3 linked regions of the Schizosaccharomyces pombe genome follow. The gene in region 1 interacts genetically with each later gene. Each region holds a gene or a part of one and is shown on either strand. Other genes may lie near its edges.

Evidence for each region. Genes that interact genetically often act in the same process or in processes that back each other up.
Region 2: mutations in vps38 (region 1) and plb5 together harm fitness more than expected from each alone (negative genetic interaction), as found in Schizosaccharomyces pombe (one large-scale study listed by BioGRID).
Region 3: mutations in vps38 (region 1) and wwm3 together harm fitness more than expected from each alone (negative genetic interaction), as found in Schizosaccharomyces pombe (one large-scale study listed by BioGRID).

Annotation. Positions count from the first base shown.
Region 1 is NC_003423.3:1,804,020-1,809,391, forward strand, and holds vps38 (phophatidylinositol 3-kinase complex subunit Vps38), read left to right. Parts: upstream 1-2,211; 5' UTR 2,212-2,242; coding exon 2,243-2,479; intron 2,480-2,709; coding exon 2,710-2,880; intron 2,881-2,944; coding exon 2,945-3,961; 3' UTR 3,962-4,298; downstream 4,299-5,372. Other genes in the region: arrestin-related substrate adaptor Any1, read right to left, coding at 4,383-5,372. UniProt on the Schizosaccharomyces pombe protein: Involved in endosome-to-Golgi retrograde transport as part of the vps34 PI3-kinase complex II. Mediates the interaction between atg6 and the pik3-ppk19 core complex, leading to the recruitment of atg6 to the membrane.
Region 2 is NC_003421.2:1,740,364-1,746,013, forward strand, and holds plb5 (phospholipase Plb5), read right to left. Parts: upstream 3,097-5,650; coding exon 1,225-3,096; 3' UTR 839-1,224; downstream 1-838. Other genes in the region: wtf antidote-like meiotic drive suppressor Wtf16, read right to left, coding at 147-285.
Region 3 is NC_003423.3:199,968-204,461, reverse strand, and holds wwm3 (protein wwm3), read right to left. Parts: upstream 2,182-4,494; 5' UTR 1,927-2,181; coding exon 1,495-1,926; 3' UTR 839-1,494; downstream 1-838.

The DNA of each region.
Region 1 (5,372 bases):
TTTATTTTTATAGAAATTAATATGTGCCGCTGTTCAACATCACCATTTTCTTGTTTCAGATTTAAAGAATTAATTATCCTGTTCTCCACGGAAGCTCTGAGTTTTAAGTCTGCACGTACTCATTGCCGATATTTATTTCAACTCAATAGGTATCATTACGGTTTGGAGAACCTAAAAAATCTTAAATTATGAATTCCAACGTAAATATATGAGGAAAATAAAGATGTGCCATGCTTTACATATTTTGAGCGAATCGACCAGCTATAAACAGTACTCATCAACACATTAGTGGTGAGCATACCGTACATGGAAAAGCAAAACATCCTTTTTTAATAATACAATTTTTTCTTATTAACTAAAATCCTTACCCGATTAGGTGGGTGTTGTTCATCCATTATCTGTGCTACATTTAGAGAGAGACCTCTTTCCAAATCGATTACACTTTCATTTTCTATGTTTACACATCACTCATTTGTAAATAGACCTTCTAACTGGACAATAAAATTTTCTCAGTTTTTAAATTAAAGAAATGGAGAGTATTATACAATATTGCATGAATTGAAAACATTGAAGCGAAAGAGCGTGAACAAGGATTTCATCCTAACTCGTAAAGCAAATGTTCATTCTGCCTCGTTTGACATATCAGACGGAAGTCAAATCAAAGTGGATTTAAATTATAAAATAACTTGAAGTTTCATTTTATCATGTTTGCAGATTTTATTTACATTTCATCTCCACATTCCAATTGTATGCACATATGCAATACCCACTGTTACTGGTTCCTTTCTTAACGAAAATTATCGCCGCATACTAAAAAATATTTAATTTGTTTATTGTGACTGTAAATTAATTTGTGTTTTTAGATCTTTTATCGGGTTTCTTCAGGACGGGCTTGATGACACTTCGATTGTTTACAGAATATATCTATAGTTAAATTATTTAAACAACATTAGCAAGTCCAACCTATAATAAGGAAAATAAGCTCACTCTGGAAGTTCTACTGGTTTGGCCGATAATGTTTTTAGCAACATGTAACAGCGTTTACTATTGAATTTGTTTAAATTTCTTAAATACCATTTTGATCATAGCAATTCTGTTCGGTTGCTTATAATATTGCTCTAAATTATTTTTTATTTCACTTACTTCTTCTGCGTTTTATTTCTTGCTGACTGTAAATATGGTTAAATTGTTTTCAAAAACAAAGTATCAAATTTTTTTTTGTGCTTCTTCAGCGGACAAATGAATAGTAAAAACTGAAAGCGTGCTTTTTTGTTGGTAATAATGTTTGATTTACTCTTTTTTTTTTTTTTTTTTTTTTTTTTTTTTTGGCTCAGACCTTCTTGCTCATAATGATCTGGGCCATAGTACATCAATTTTCGAAGACAGTAATAAAGCAATTAAAAAAAAAAATTTTCGCCATTGATTCAAACTCACATCAGTTATCAATTAAAAAATTTCTTTACAGTTAATTTCTGCTATATTATTTTATTGAACCTTTTTAAATTCATTCAACCATTACGGAAGACACTAAATTTCCTTAAAGAATGAGTTCTGAGCTAAAGGATCAGTGGCCAGCTTTAAGAATAAGATATATTACGGCAAAGTTTCAGAATTATCTAAATATAATTTAATATAAATACATTTAACGATTATATTATGTATAGTATTATAATCCAATTAATTAATGGTAGCATATAATGACACGCAAAAGGGCTTAGTGAAGTCTTGCTGCTGACAATAAAGTGCATATAATGTTAGCTTCGCAGTTTGGTATCTGATTTAAGGATACATAGAACTGCGGTGAGTTTTCCTTGTGATCTATTATATTACAATACACAGGTTGTATGAGTAGCAACTGAGTATAGGTATTGTATTAACTAGGTTATAATGTTACCTATCACTAATATATCTTATAACTGAACTGAGGGACGAGGTTCAGTTGTTCTCAATTTATAATATTTGAAGTAGTAAGAATTATATCTGATAGTTATCTTATCATGAATGATATTATATCTCCATCTTGATGACTTATCATGTAATAGTTGATAGAGCAAATAGAACATTGTGAACATGTGACATATAGTGATATGCAACGTGGAGTATCATTGCGTAGTGTAGTATTGCTGACAATAACGAACTAAACCAGTATATTGTTATCCTACGCTAGCACCAGACTCAGCTGAGTTTACCAAGTAGGGCGATGCGATGAAGCAAAAGCATTCATTGCTTTAACCATGATAGAATGTCGCTTGAATTACCAGGAAACTACCGACTTTCCAGGCTTAAATCAATACAAATAAGAAATGTTCAAGAAATTCAAAATCATAGCAAATTTGCGATCAATACGACGGAAAATTTGTGGAAACGAGATGTGCAGTTAAAACGTGCAATTTCCGAAGGAACTATTCGTATTTTTATATCATTGCATGTGCAGAGTAAGAAATTGCCTGTTTATATTACTGAAACGAGCGGAAATGCTGTATGTGAACATGCTTTGATAAACAAAAGTATCTGAATGGTATCATTATATCTAGGTTATTTGCTTGATTGAAAAGGTTAATCAGTTTGTTTATACAAGTGATTTGCCAAAATTTCGTTGCTCAAATCCTTGAAACAAAGCCCTCAATTGATAGTTTATACCTTGTATCTCTTTTACCCATATACAAATTTTGTATGTATTTATGTTCTTTGTGTCTAACCTCTCATTAGAATCACATCTTTTACGTCGATGAAAAAGTAACCGAAAAGCTTCAAAAATACCGTCACGAAGAGTACTTTATCGTGAGGACTTGGTGCTCATCAAGTAGTCATGCCTTCAAGCTACATAAAGAATGGAAAATTTTGAGATATGACAGTAATTTTCGTTATATTGGTAATGATGTACGGTTGAATATTTTTGGTTTACCTTATGTTTCCCTTGTGTTGACTAACATATTATTTGTAGCCTGTTTTTGCAGTTTGTCATATTCGAAACGGTCTTTTATGTGAATTTAATGATGGCGTTTACATCTACACAACATCCCAGTCTTCGGATATTATGAGACAGACCTCCTTTCCAAAAAGTGCCTCCACATATTCTATAGACAGGCGGAAGGATGGTTACACTATTCAGAAAATCACTCGAATTTTGAAACTGGCTGAATGCATAGATGAAATGCACATTGCTAAACATGAAATTCGAGCTCATTTTCAGGAGGAGGAGTTTCAGCAGATACGTTTGATGCACAAAAGGATGTTACTTCGGGATGAAAAAATCGATGAACTGGCTAAATTAGAACATCTTTGGCAAAAACAAATTAATAGCATCACTCAGATGAGGACGAAATTTGACAAGACGAAAAGCTGGTTATCCTCAAAAAGGAACACTTTGAACAAATCCAAAGAATCCCTTCAAAAAGATGAAGCTGAGTATGTGGAACTTGCCAATTCTTTAAAAACAAAAGTAGAGACCAATATAGAGATTCGAATCCTTATGGCACATGCTATTCGTATGCACGTTTCCCATCTTTCCAAAATTTACCCAATCCAACCATCGCCTGGCAATCATGACGAGTTTACAATTCGCAATCTCCGCCTATCTTTTGAGCCAGATAAAATTAATAATGTGGAAATGGCTGCTTCCATAGGATTTTTGGCGCATTTACTTCAAACTCTTTCAAAGTATCTCGAAAAAGAACTCGCTTATCCAATTCTTTGCGCATCTTCGAGATCCTCCATCCTGGATACATTGACACCCGACATCCCCACGCGTATCTTTCCCCTTTATCCAGCAACTCGACCAATTGAGCTTTTTGAACATGCCATTTATCTTCTCAACCAGGATGTAAATGATTTTTTAGAAACTTTTGGATTACCTATTGACCAATCCATGGACATACTCAGGAACTTTAAAAAACTGCTCCAATTTATTTTATCAGGACAACATCTATCTTTTGTACAAGTAACGTCTACCGCTCCTTAACAATTCCATAAGCTTAGGCACCATAAGCCTAAATTATCGTTAATTGCAAAACTACGCATAACTTGTCTATCGTTTAATTGTATCTTTTCACCCTAGTTTACTCTCAACAATCAATTTCGTTTTCGTATTCTTTGTTGGAAATTCATATACCCATTTCACGGTTTAATTTTAATCATCTTAATGAAGAGTTTTTATGGACATTTGCCGAAGGCATATTACTCATTGTCATTGCGACAACTACTATACAATGCATTTACGTTTAAAATATAAAAATAAACAGATAATGATGAATGTAGATATTATAAATAGTTCCCTTAAATTAATAAAACTTGTGAATTAAAAAATAAAAAGAGCCATGTTCATTTTTTGATAGTTATGTGATGGTGATCGAGCTCTTCCGGTTACATCCGACCCACATATTCTAGGTATAGGCAGGCGGAGCGGGTCCTACACTTTCAAAAACTGGCGGGCATTCTTCATCCCAACTAATACCTAAACCAGCTGGCGTGGTAAGTGGCTGAACGACTGATACTCGTAAGATACGGGCATTGCCCATATTGTTTCCCGCAACGTTCTTTTTTCTATTAACAATGGTCTCAAAAATTAAATGATGAGAGACTTTTAAGGAAAAAGGGGCAGGAATTTCCACGTCACAGCTTGGCTCTCTTAAAGAAGATGTGTTAATTTGAGTAGATAGAAACATCTGATTATCAATGAACTTCCATCCCGATTGTAAATCTTGTGTACTCAAAATTCTTTTTTCTTCAATAGGTCGAGGTTTTACCAAATCACGATGGCGTTCACATGGTTGACAACTAAACTGCATATGCTCCTCCAATCTCCAAGTAACTCTATTGATCTTCCAATCGTTGCCGTCATTTTGGGCAAAACCAGTCATGGTAACTTCCATAAGCGCAGCTCCATGAGGATGCAAGGTACTGGGCAAAGTAATGTTTGCAACAAGATTCGTAGGGGGAAAGATACGTTTATGGATGGTATCAGGCGAAGGAATGGCAGCTCGCTTTAGTTGGAGAGGAAACTTAAGAACTTCGGGCTTCGAGGGAGAAATTCCGCCTTCAGGAGTACCATAGCATAACGTAGCTTCTAAATAATACTCAAGCTTGATGTATCTGTTAGAAACCGAAGCAGGAAGCGAACCAGGGAAAAGCCAACTAAAAGGCCAATGCTGAGTACCAGGTCTATATGTGGTATTTGCAGCTAAATCCCAAGTCTGTAAAACCTCTTTTGAACCCGCACAAGCAGAACAATGAGAGATTGCAGGATGAAGAACGGTGATCCTTTTTATGAGTTGCAGCTTGAGGGTATGTACTTTAATAAAAGGTTGATGTAAAATCGTCAGTTTTAAAATGCCAGACGCAAGTGCACCACTAGACGTTTCCGGCGAGCCAAG
Region 2 (5,650 bases), on another chromosome or scaffold:
AAAGACTTTAGTAAAGAAAGAACATGTATTAAAATGTGTGCATTGCATGGCCAACTGTAAACAATGACCAAAGCATGCAATTTGACTACGATGGCAAGCTTCAATTTCAATTGAGTAATTCCTTTCTTATTATTTACAATTCTTACCCGAGTATGGAGGCAGTGCGCCCTCTTCCTCTGAATCATATTCTGGAAGTAGCCCTTTTTCCAAATCGATTTCATGTCCTGTCTTCGATTCATCTCCTTCATCTATAGGACTTTTCAAGGAAGTGTAATTATTCTTCATTTTTTCAAGATCATTCTTTATTTAATAAAATACATGCGCGAATTAATTGCTATAATTGCGACAAACGAAACAGCGAAATCAAGAATTTTCACTCTGGAGCCCAATTTCAGCCGTTCAACATAAAAAACGAGCAATTTCTTTCAAAGAAGACTTCTCTCTTTAATAATAGTAGGTAAAAGTTAAAATTCGAAAACTCATTTTCAAAATGCAATTGCTTCTGACACATTTATTTTGTCACTGCCCTTTTTATTTACCCTAACTTAGCTTTCCTTAAAACGTTTTTGAGAAGCAAACGTTGTAGTATAATTATAATGTCAGCTACGCAGTTTGGTATCTGGTTTAACGATATATAGCACTGCGGCGAGATTTCTAGGGATTTACAACATAGCGGTATGCGCTTTGTTAACTAATAATATTATATTTATTGTTATAAAAAGTCTAGTAGTATCGGTCACCGATATAGCCAATAACTGAACTGAGGAATGAGGTTCAGTGGTAGCTCTATTTATATTTTTCTCTAGTTGCTACCAATGTGTAACTTGTGTAGATAGATGGACAAACAGCTACAATCATCAATAAACTAATGTTATGTATATTTTAGCATGACATATAGTGCTACGCAACGTAGTATATCGTAGCGTGCTGGACTACTGCTGACACAGTATTTGAGTTGAAACATTTCTGCAAAGGTTACATAAATTAGTGTCATTTAGAGCTTAGGAATTCAAATTCGATGGTGTTAATGGCTTCTTGAAGCTTTTTTCATTCCTATATTTATTCACTATATCTTCCTTCTCGTTGTTTATGAGCAATAAGTAAAGAGCCGACTTTTGCTGGTTCTTAGATTAGTGAATATATGAACATTAGTGTTTCAATGCTTTACGCTCTATGCTACCATGGAAAAGATCGAACAAAATGGATTGTCGTGAGCGTTGCATACTAAATCTTGGCTGACAGAACTGTAGGTGCATATGTAGTAACGGTCGTGCTTGCAATTGTTCCATTCCAACAGTATTGATTAAAGCAAGAAGCACATTGACTTGGAGTCGACATGTTTTTGCGTTCCAAGGAACGTTGAACGAGAGCGCATGCAACGCAGACAGCAAATGAATCACTGTTATTTTGGGTAGCAGCAACAGCGGCATTTTCAATCATTCCACTGGACAAAGTATCTTCCAGTTGAACAGTGTAGGTAGTGACATTTGCATACATAGTCCAAGGATAGTTGGGGAAGTAAACTACAAGAGGAGGAGTATCGTCATTAACGGTATGGTTTCCGGCTGTGGTGTTTCTACCGTCGCAACCGAAGAAAGTTGGATGAGTGTTCAAACCAAGAGCCAAAAATGTGTTGGTATCAGGAATATATGGGAAACCACGAACGCCAGAGGAGTTAGTGGCTAAAACTCTTTCATATGTAGAAACTAGGGACGATCCATCTGGCCATCCACTCGTTGCGCTTTGATAACCCCCGTCAATCGCAAAAATAACATCTACGTCTCTTTGTGGATGAAGCAAGGGCCAAAAGGGAATACCTTCACTATCTGAGCCACCGTCTATTAATTCAATAATGGGATACGGCTCCAAGGGATTGGTAGTGGTTGTATTGGAAGCATTTCCATAACCTTGGTAAGGGTTGGGATAAAGACCTACATCCAATTGATCTTCGGCAAGCATTTCGAGGAAACTAAGGACAGCATTGTTAAAGGTATTATTACTAGCGGTGAGTGATGCATTTGTCGCAGGAAGGATACCGCTAAAAACATTTGAAGAGGTACCCATGAGGAAACCAGCGTTGTCGAAATTACGCACACAGGATTCATTAAGAGGAATGCCATTAATAAGGTGTGTACCTGTATACTCCATGGGTATAAATGATTCCACCCCAGTGTCCCAAGTACCAAATTCGATGGGTGTAAATTCAAAGACAGTGTCGTTCAAAGGGATTACGGTTTCACCCTCTATGACATTATCAGCAATGATGATGGGAAAGGGAAATTCACCATCCTGGAACCACGTTTCATTTGTTACACTAGAGAATGTAGTATTAGCACCTCCAGTCAAAGGATTGACAAGCTTAAGAGCCAAAGCACGGCCCCAAAGGTCAGTAATGGAGACATTGAATCCAGCATTCTTCTTTTGCAGAACTTGCTCAAACCACTCTTGGTAAATATAAAAGTTCTCAAAAGCGTCGTCATAGGGAGCGAAGAGACTGTGGTCCAGGTTCCAAACGTCGTCGTGCAAGAAAGTAATATTGGCAAAGTTGTTAACCGCAACAGATCCCACAAGCCAAGAGCCACCAGAAAGACCAGTAAGGTACATGGAAGATTGAAGAATACCACCAAGAGACGTAGTGTTACCATTTCTAGCATCAAATGCATTAATAGCGCCGGCTCCCGTTAACATGGCAGGAAATCCACCGCCAGAGATTGCAATTCCCAAACGAGGGCCATCTGTGTCATTCAGCACACTTTTTGTATCGATTTTTAAGCCGGTTTTTGAAATAAAGCTTTCCAATGCACTGTTAACCTTTGAGACACGTTTGTCAACAAATTCTTGTTCACCAGTACTAAGGCCATCGGAGGCAGGTCGAAGCAGAGAGCCACTAGGGCAAGCAACAGTATAAGGCGCATACGATGGGCTTGTGCTACGCTTGGAAAGGGGTATAGAGTTTGCTGGCTTATCAACGTTATCGGGTTTCAATAATCCGATTAGTTCTGGGTCTGAAACGTCTACTTCATCGATACGAGAAGGAAGGCCCAAGGCCGGCAAAAGCTGGAGAGCGAGAAATAATCCAAAGGAAGATAATTTCATGTTTAAAAAAAAATAAAATAAAAATTAAAAAAGCAAGGTTGGTTTAATAAAGGATAAAAGGATAGAATACGGTCAATGATTCGTTTTTAAAAAAAGTTCGAATTTTTCAATTTTCTCTGAATCCAAAAAAAGCAAGAGAGTGATTAACAAACAGCGAGTTTCTAAAGTCTGAATTTTTTGAAATTTTCTGAGAATGAAAAAAATCAAGACAATGAAAGTAATCAATTAAAGAGCTTTCAATTGTCAATTCCCAATCTAGTAAGTTCAACGAAAAATATTTAGATATCTAGAGAGTCCGTCGAGCTACAATGTCAATAAAAGCAAATTAAGCATTTGATGGAGCGGTTCGGCAAGCGATGAGCTTAAACTATATTTCCATCAGGACACCTAGTTTTGTCGAAAAGGTTGGGATGAGACAGGATTTCGACATATTTCCAAGAAAATAATATCATGTTCTTTTTTATGATTTAACCTATCTTTTTCCATTGAAATAAAAAAATCCCAATTCAAATTTTCAAGTTGGGATTTTGCTTACCCACCGTCCGTTTTAGGAATAGACAGACGTTTTTGCTCATTTCCTTGCCAAACACAAACCGGCCTTGCCAACTTTCTAGGCATTTGTAAATTGCTTGCTTACCTACACAGATCACACTAAAGAAGGATGAATCACTGATTGTTTGTTTTAACGGGATTTACCGATTCAATCACTAAAGTTGCAACCTTTATTCATTTATTCCCAAGTGCTATATATATAATATATATAGGCTTTTGAGGATGAACTCACTTGTAGACTCACTTTTCGCATGACCCACGTTTCTCATGATCTGCTTACCTTGATCCGCAATTCGGCGTGGACTAGAAGGAACTCCGAAGATGCCATCTATGATGTTAACGATTTTCTATATGTAGCACCGTGAGATTATGAAATGGTGGTCATATTACTAAGTCTTTAGATGCCAGTTGGAGTTGGATTGCCTAGTTATCATTAGCATTCATGGGTACCATTTATGCCCTATTCAATAAATATTTCAGCGATTCTATAATGGAATATTTAGATCAACCTAGGCTCAGCTTTAAATGACGGGATGAATATCAACGGCTAAATTTATAAACGGATACCAACCCGATTGCTGCGAACTCACGGATGTAAAATTGTCTGGTAATGCAAATCATCGACAAGTCCATGATGAAACGACTTTCTATTTTTTTTTTACTTCTATTAACGTCATTTAATGTCCAACTCTTCTAGGAAATCCCCAAATTCGAATATTCAATAAGGTAATGGGGTGCGATGTTTTTAGTTGATTCACATTGGAAATATTTCAATTCGAGATATGAAAAACCATTGATAGAAACAGATAGAGTAGAAGTTATTGCTTGATGCAACAAAATTTGAAGATTTGTTAATTTACAGATTTGCTATTCTACAAAGTCTCATCCCTACAAGCAGAAATGGATCTGAATAGCGATCGCTTTAGTTAGGTCATAAGATCGGCAGTCTAAACGTTGACCGCACATGGCTACATTGTAGCCTTTATATTCTTTCTTTCTATTCCAGTTATAAGCTGATACAGTAGATCTTGAATTTCATCAGTTTGTCAAAATATCTCTCTCGTTTTATCATACTTTACAAACCCAAAACACAAACATAAGAAACTGCACTGAACTAAATGCAAAGCTATAAGGTATTGTAACAAGCTCACAATGTGATATATAACCATTTCGACAGAGTTATTAAGAGATACATTATTTTACACTTTGTTTAAGAGTTCCCGTGTATCCAGACTGTATACCTCCTTTGCTTAGTTCCCGTGTCTAAGGAGCTATAACAAAGAGTTTTGTAAACCTAGATTATGCACTGGCTTGTACGTCTTAAATAAATTTAAAGAACTACTGAAGTGTCATCGGTATGTGATGAATCCTTAGCGTAGCAAAGGCAGTTGAGGTATTAAGGTCAACGAATACTGTATTATAGTAAGTTTCGCAATACAAGTTAAGCAACAACTCGTCCAAAATCACAAATACCAACTTAAGGAGTGATAAACTAGATATGCGTAATTGTGGAAATTTGTCGCACAGCTGAATACTCCCTAAGTGTAATATATAGTTAGCCAAATTAAATTAAACTAAATGGAAAACTCTGATAACTACTTGTGTTTGGTGTATAAAACTTCGAAGTTGCTTATCTCTTTACAATGCCTCTATAGATTTTTTGTTTATGGTCTTATAGCTGAGGCTACCTTTAAAGATGTGCGACCAAGAGCAACTTTGGTAAAAAATTTACTGAAGGATGAAGTTGTATGAGATTTCGTATTTAAAACAATTTATCTTCTTCATTGATTAAAATTATATGAAGCGCTTTTTTTTTTCAACTAGAAATCCCTAAAAGAAAATAGAAATAATATTCAAAGTGAAACTCTCTATTTACGAAATGGATACACTTAGATTTTTAAAACACATTCAAAAGTACTATTGAGAGGAAATGATTGTTTTTACCAGTGTATTCTTTAAATGTGTAGGATGATAATGGAGTTATCATTATTGTTATGTAAAT
Region 3 (4,494 bases), 1.6 Mb from region 1:
GTTAGGGAAAAGGAGAAATCGCGCAGTGGTATAGAACGATTATAAAAGAAATGAAAATCTGATACGCTACAGATCATTACATAAGAGGCTGATGTAGTGGTAGTAGCATTATGCAAATTTCGTTATTTTACTATATCGTGATTGCCCCAAACCATAATTCGTCATTCCTAGTTTACGAATTTACGAGTTCCATTAAAGTGGTATTAACGTGTTTTTAAAAGTACTTCACTAATTATCGAAAGCTGTTCATGGAAAATAGACTGCCAATTTGTTTTATTCAAACTCAGAATATCAGGGTTTCACTAATGCTGCTTGACTTGAAACATAGCTAATTGAAAAAGGAAAATTGCTCTTATTACCCTTTTTAATCGCCGGCTTTGCTTAAAAACAAACGGTTTTGCATTGCTATGAAAACCCTCGACATTCATTTGATAATTGCCAGGTACAAATTTACGTATCCTTACTGAATAATCGTAATATGAACAAATAAATGTTGTACCGTAGATAATATTTCTTAATTTTGAAATATATTAACTTTTCTTATTTCATTATGTGTATCCAAGAGCCAAGTTATATTTCTCTTATTTTAAACAGCTTGATAAATACAGGTTTTAAACGATTCAAATGATATCTGTTTGTCTTTTAAAATAGTGGTATGACATCCCATAAGTGTAAAAAAAATTTTTTTTCTTTCTGCCTTAATTTTTTCGGAATTGTGCATTTAATCCAAAACCAAACAAATATCTGAGTTTGCCAATTATATAGTCAGTAATACACCACTATAAACTATTCAACTAAAATACCCAAAAAAAAAGGACAACTAGTAATGAAAAAACAATGATAATAATAAATGAAAGATATATAATTGACTATTTTAAATCATGCATAATAAACTAATTTAACGTCTGAAAAAACAACCATTGATTTTTTAAAAGTTTCAAAAATTGTGCTTCACCCAATTTTTTACAATTAACCAAAAAAAAATATAAATAAATAAGTAAATACACGTCGAAGTGATAAATGCCAAAAAAATGATTCCATCGACAACCAACTCCGTCGATATTCACACCCATTATAATATATGCTCCTTACTTCTTTGGTATTAAACAGAAATTTTATAAATTAGACCGTTTTCCTCGAAATCCCAATAAAGAATGCAATGGTACAATAAATAAGGAAGCTTGAAACAAGTAAAGATCAGATGATAACAAAATTAATATAAGTAAACAAGAAATTAGGTCAAAGAACGACTAACAGAATATAACAATTTTAGAACGATTAGCAAAAATAGTATGAAATTTCAAGGGAATAAAAAGAACTTCACTGGATATCGTGTTTTCCATTTAACAATTTCGAAAGAGTCGTATACGTGAATTTGGTGATTCTATTCAAAGGAGAAAGTGATGTTCTCAAAAAAAAAGAGCGATTCCATAATCAACGACCATAGTATGTAGGACGAAATCGGAACCAAATTTAAATAAAAATCAACGCTTTTCATCTGCGGCCACGTCCACCACGTCCACCCATGCGTCCACCACCGCGGCCGCCGAAACCACCGTGAGGACCATGAAGTGGGCCATGATGGCCACCACCGATTCTTGGACCAAACAAAGGGCCTCTGGGAGGAGGAGGGGCGTAGTAAGCACGGTGACCACGAAGAACACTGCCGGCTAAAGCTCCAACCATGAAACCTCCTAATCCAGCCGTCATAGACCGTGAGCCGTCAGAAGAGCGAGGCACGTCCTTTTGATAGACGACGGTAGTGGTACCGGGAGGAGGAGGAATATGCAAGCCTGGAATAGGAGGCTCCCACTGTGGTTGAGCACCTTCAAACGTTTCATTAATGTAAAAGTAAGCTTGATAAGTTGGATCCCATTGGGCGACCCAACCAGCTGGCAAGCCCTTGTAAGTTTGATAAACAGACATCTTTCGATAAAGTAATTAATGAGAAACTGTAACTTAGAAAAAAAGAAGTAGTGAGAAGTAGAGTATGTCTGTTAAGAATTATTAATAGACAGGCACAAATGTCAAAAGAAAAAAAGAATTAGCAGCGAAGTAGAAACGGTATGTATAACAAGAAAGAATTTATGATCTCGTTATAGTAAGAATGAAGAAAAGATTAGAATAACGAATGCTTTGAAAATGAAGCAAGTAAAAAAAATGATTGATTGAAATTAGATTGACGAAAAGGTGAGGAAAACTCGCAAATAAATAAAGCTTTGCATTAGGACATAGCCGACGGACAATACGTCACTTTTGTGGGGAAATGATGAGTTATTGCGTAGTTGTAGTGTGGAAGCGAGTGCGATTTGAACTCTTTTTCTTCCATCGGAATAGAAAACATATGAGCGGGGCCGAAAGCTGCCGCAATCTATTTTGCGATTGTGTACCCGATATCCTAACAGCAAAGCAGTGAATTGGAAGATGAATTTACTACAATATCTGTAGTGTCTTTTAGTTACATTCAGAAAAGAAATTGATACGAAAATGTGCACGCTAAAAGCTCAAACCCATGTATACTTATGATCTTCCAATTGTACAAATTATTGCTATTTTCGCTAGTCTATAGATCGATCAGCCATTGACGTCAGCGCTCGTTTAGTATTTGAAAACAAACGCCAAGTTAGGTGTTTGTTTATTAATGTGTTTCTTTGGGTATATGAGTGTATGAAAATTCGACTCAAGCTCCTGTTAACACTTGATCTTTCTTTTGAATCGCGAATAGCATTGACTCCGATATCTCGGTTCAATTTTTTTGAGTAAATAGTAAACGTACGTTTCATAAAACTAACTTTAACAAAAAATTATCTACTTAGTGAATTAGTTCTCACTTGGATAAATACTTGTTTTTGTCAAGCTTTTAGCATGGTCAATTGATATCAAAAGGAACTCACTCCAAAAAAAATCGACCCCACTTGGGTCCATGAACCTCTCTTGTCTTGCATCTCTCAAGGACTGGATGGATGTGGGGGTTCGGGGAATCAAGAGTTTTCAATGGAGTAAGTGCAATCAAATAAATCAAAGCGACAAAGGATTAGAGCGAGGAGACGAGAAAAGATGGAAATACAATGAGTAAATTCGTATTAAAATTGATATCGTTTTAACGAAGGAAAAGAGAAAGTTACTCTACGTAGGTTTGCAAAAAAAAAATATATAAATGTAGATGTAGATGTAAAATTAATGTTAATGAGAAATTTGAAATTAAGGAAGCATAAATAGTATGGAGACATTATAGTTAATATGGACGATGAGTTAAAAGGAATAATTGGTTTAAGTGAAGCTAAAGAAAAATAAAAATAAAAAAATAAAAAGATGTCATTTAATATTAAATTTAAAAAAGACAACACACACATAAGAACTATTCAATAAAATAAAATAAACACAGTACAATAAAATAAAATAAATAACGATCTAACGAAACAGGAAAAAAAAAAAAAAATAATATATTACAAACAAAAAACAATCTCAAAAAGCTATCTTATAATTTGAGTATCCTAACCATAATATTTATTAACTCATATGTAAGTTTATCTTGGTAGAAGCTTTACCTTTAAGAATTGACTTCATTCCTACTCGCATCGCATTTGTTGCTTCTATTTTAGAGATAAAAGCTCTTTTAATTGAACTTATGCTTTTACCAACACGGCACGTGAATCAAGTTAGAATAATAGTCTAAATGTCCACAAAGGGTGGTTTCTCGTTCTATGAATAAATATAGTAGTAGCTTAGTGAAAATTCCACGGGACATTAGTTTATATAAGAATAAAAGTGAATGTATGAAAATTACATGTGAAGAATAAATTTGTGGTAAAATACACGTCTTTTAAAATATAGCTAATAGCACACATATTTTGAAGCATGCTTTATATCCTGCTCTTTCAATGCAAGGTTATTATCCCATTCTGAAGCCACATACCATCAACCCACGAAAAATCTCGTTAAATAAACAACACCAAATTTCCTTATTGCTAATAGGAAGGGCGGGATGAAAACAATCAACCTCAAAAATTTCTCCCTCTCTTTAATTACCTGGATGACCAGTCATTATAGAACGAATTTATTTTCTCCACTTCTTTCTATATCTTAAGGTTCATTTCTCCTCCTACTAACTACTCCATCCACCCACCCACCTTTAGCACTTCCCAATCATCTACGTCACAAAGCATTAGTACTCATCATCGAATTTCACAATTTCTGATTTTCGTTGCTGCATTCCAGCACACTACACTGCGCCATTTAGCTGTATAAGCCATGTTATGTTGATTCTGAGTTAACACAGGTAAGAAGACACATAAAGCCCACTTTAAACTTGAACTTGTATTCGTGTGCTCTAAAACGTACAACACTATACCAAAGCAGCACGAGAAAACAAGTTCAAGTTTAAAGAGACATAATAACACCTACAGCTACACAATGGCGATCAATCATACACAATTGCTAGACATCAAATCATAGGCAATTGGGGTCGATCTTATGTAATTGCTGTGGGTATGC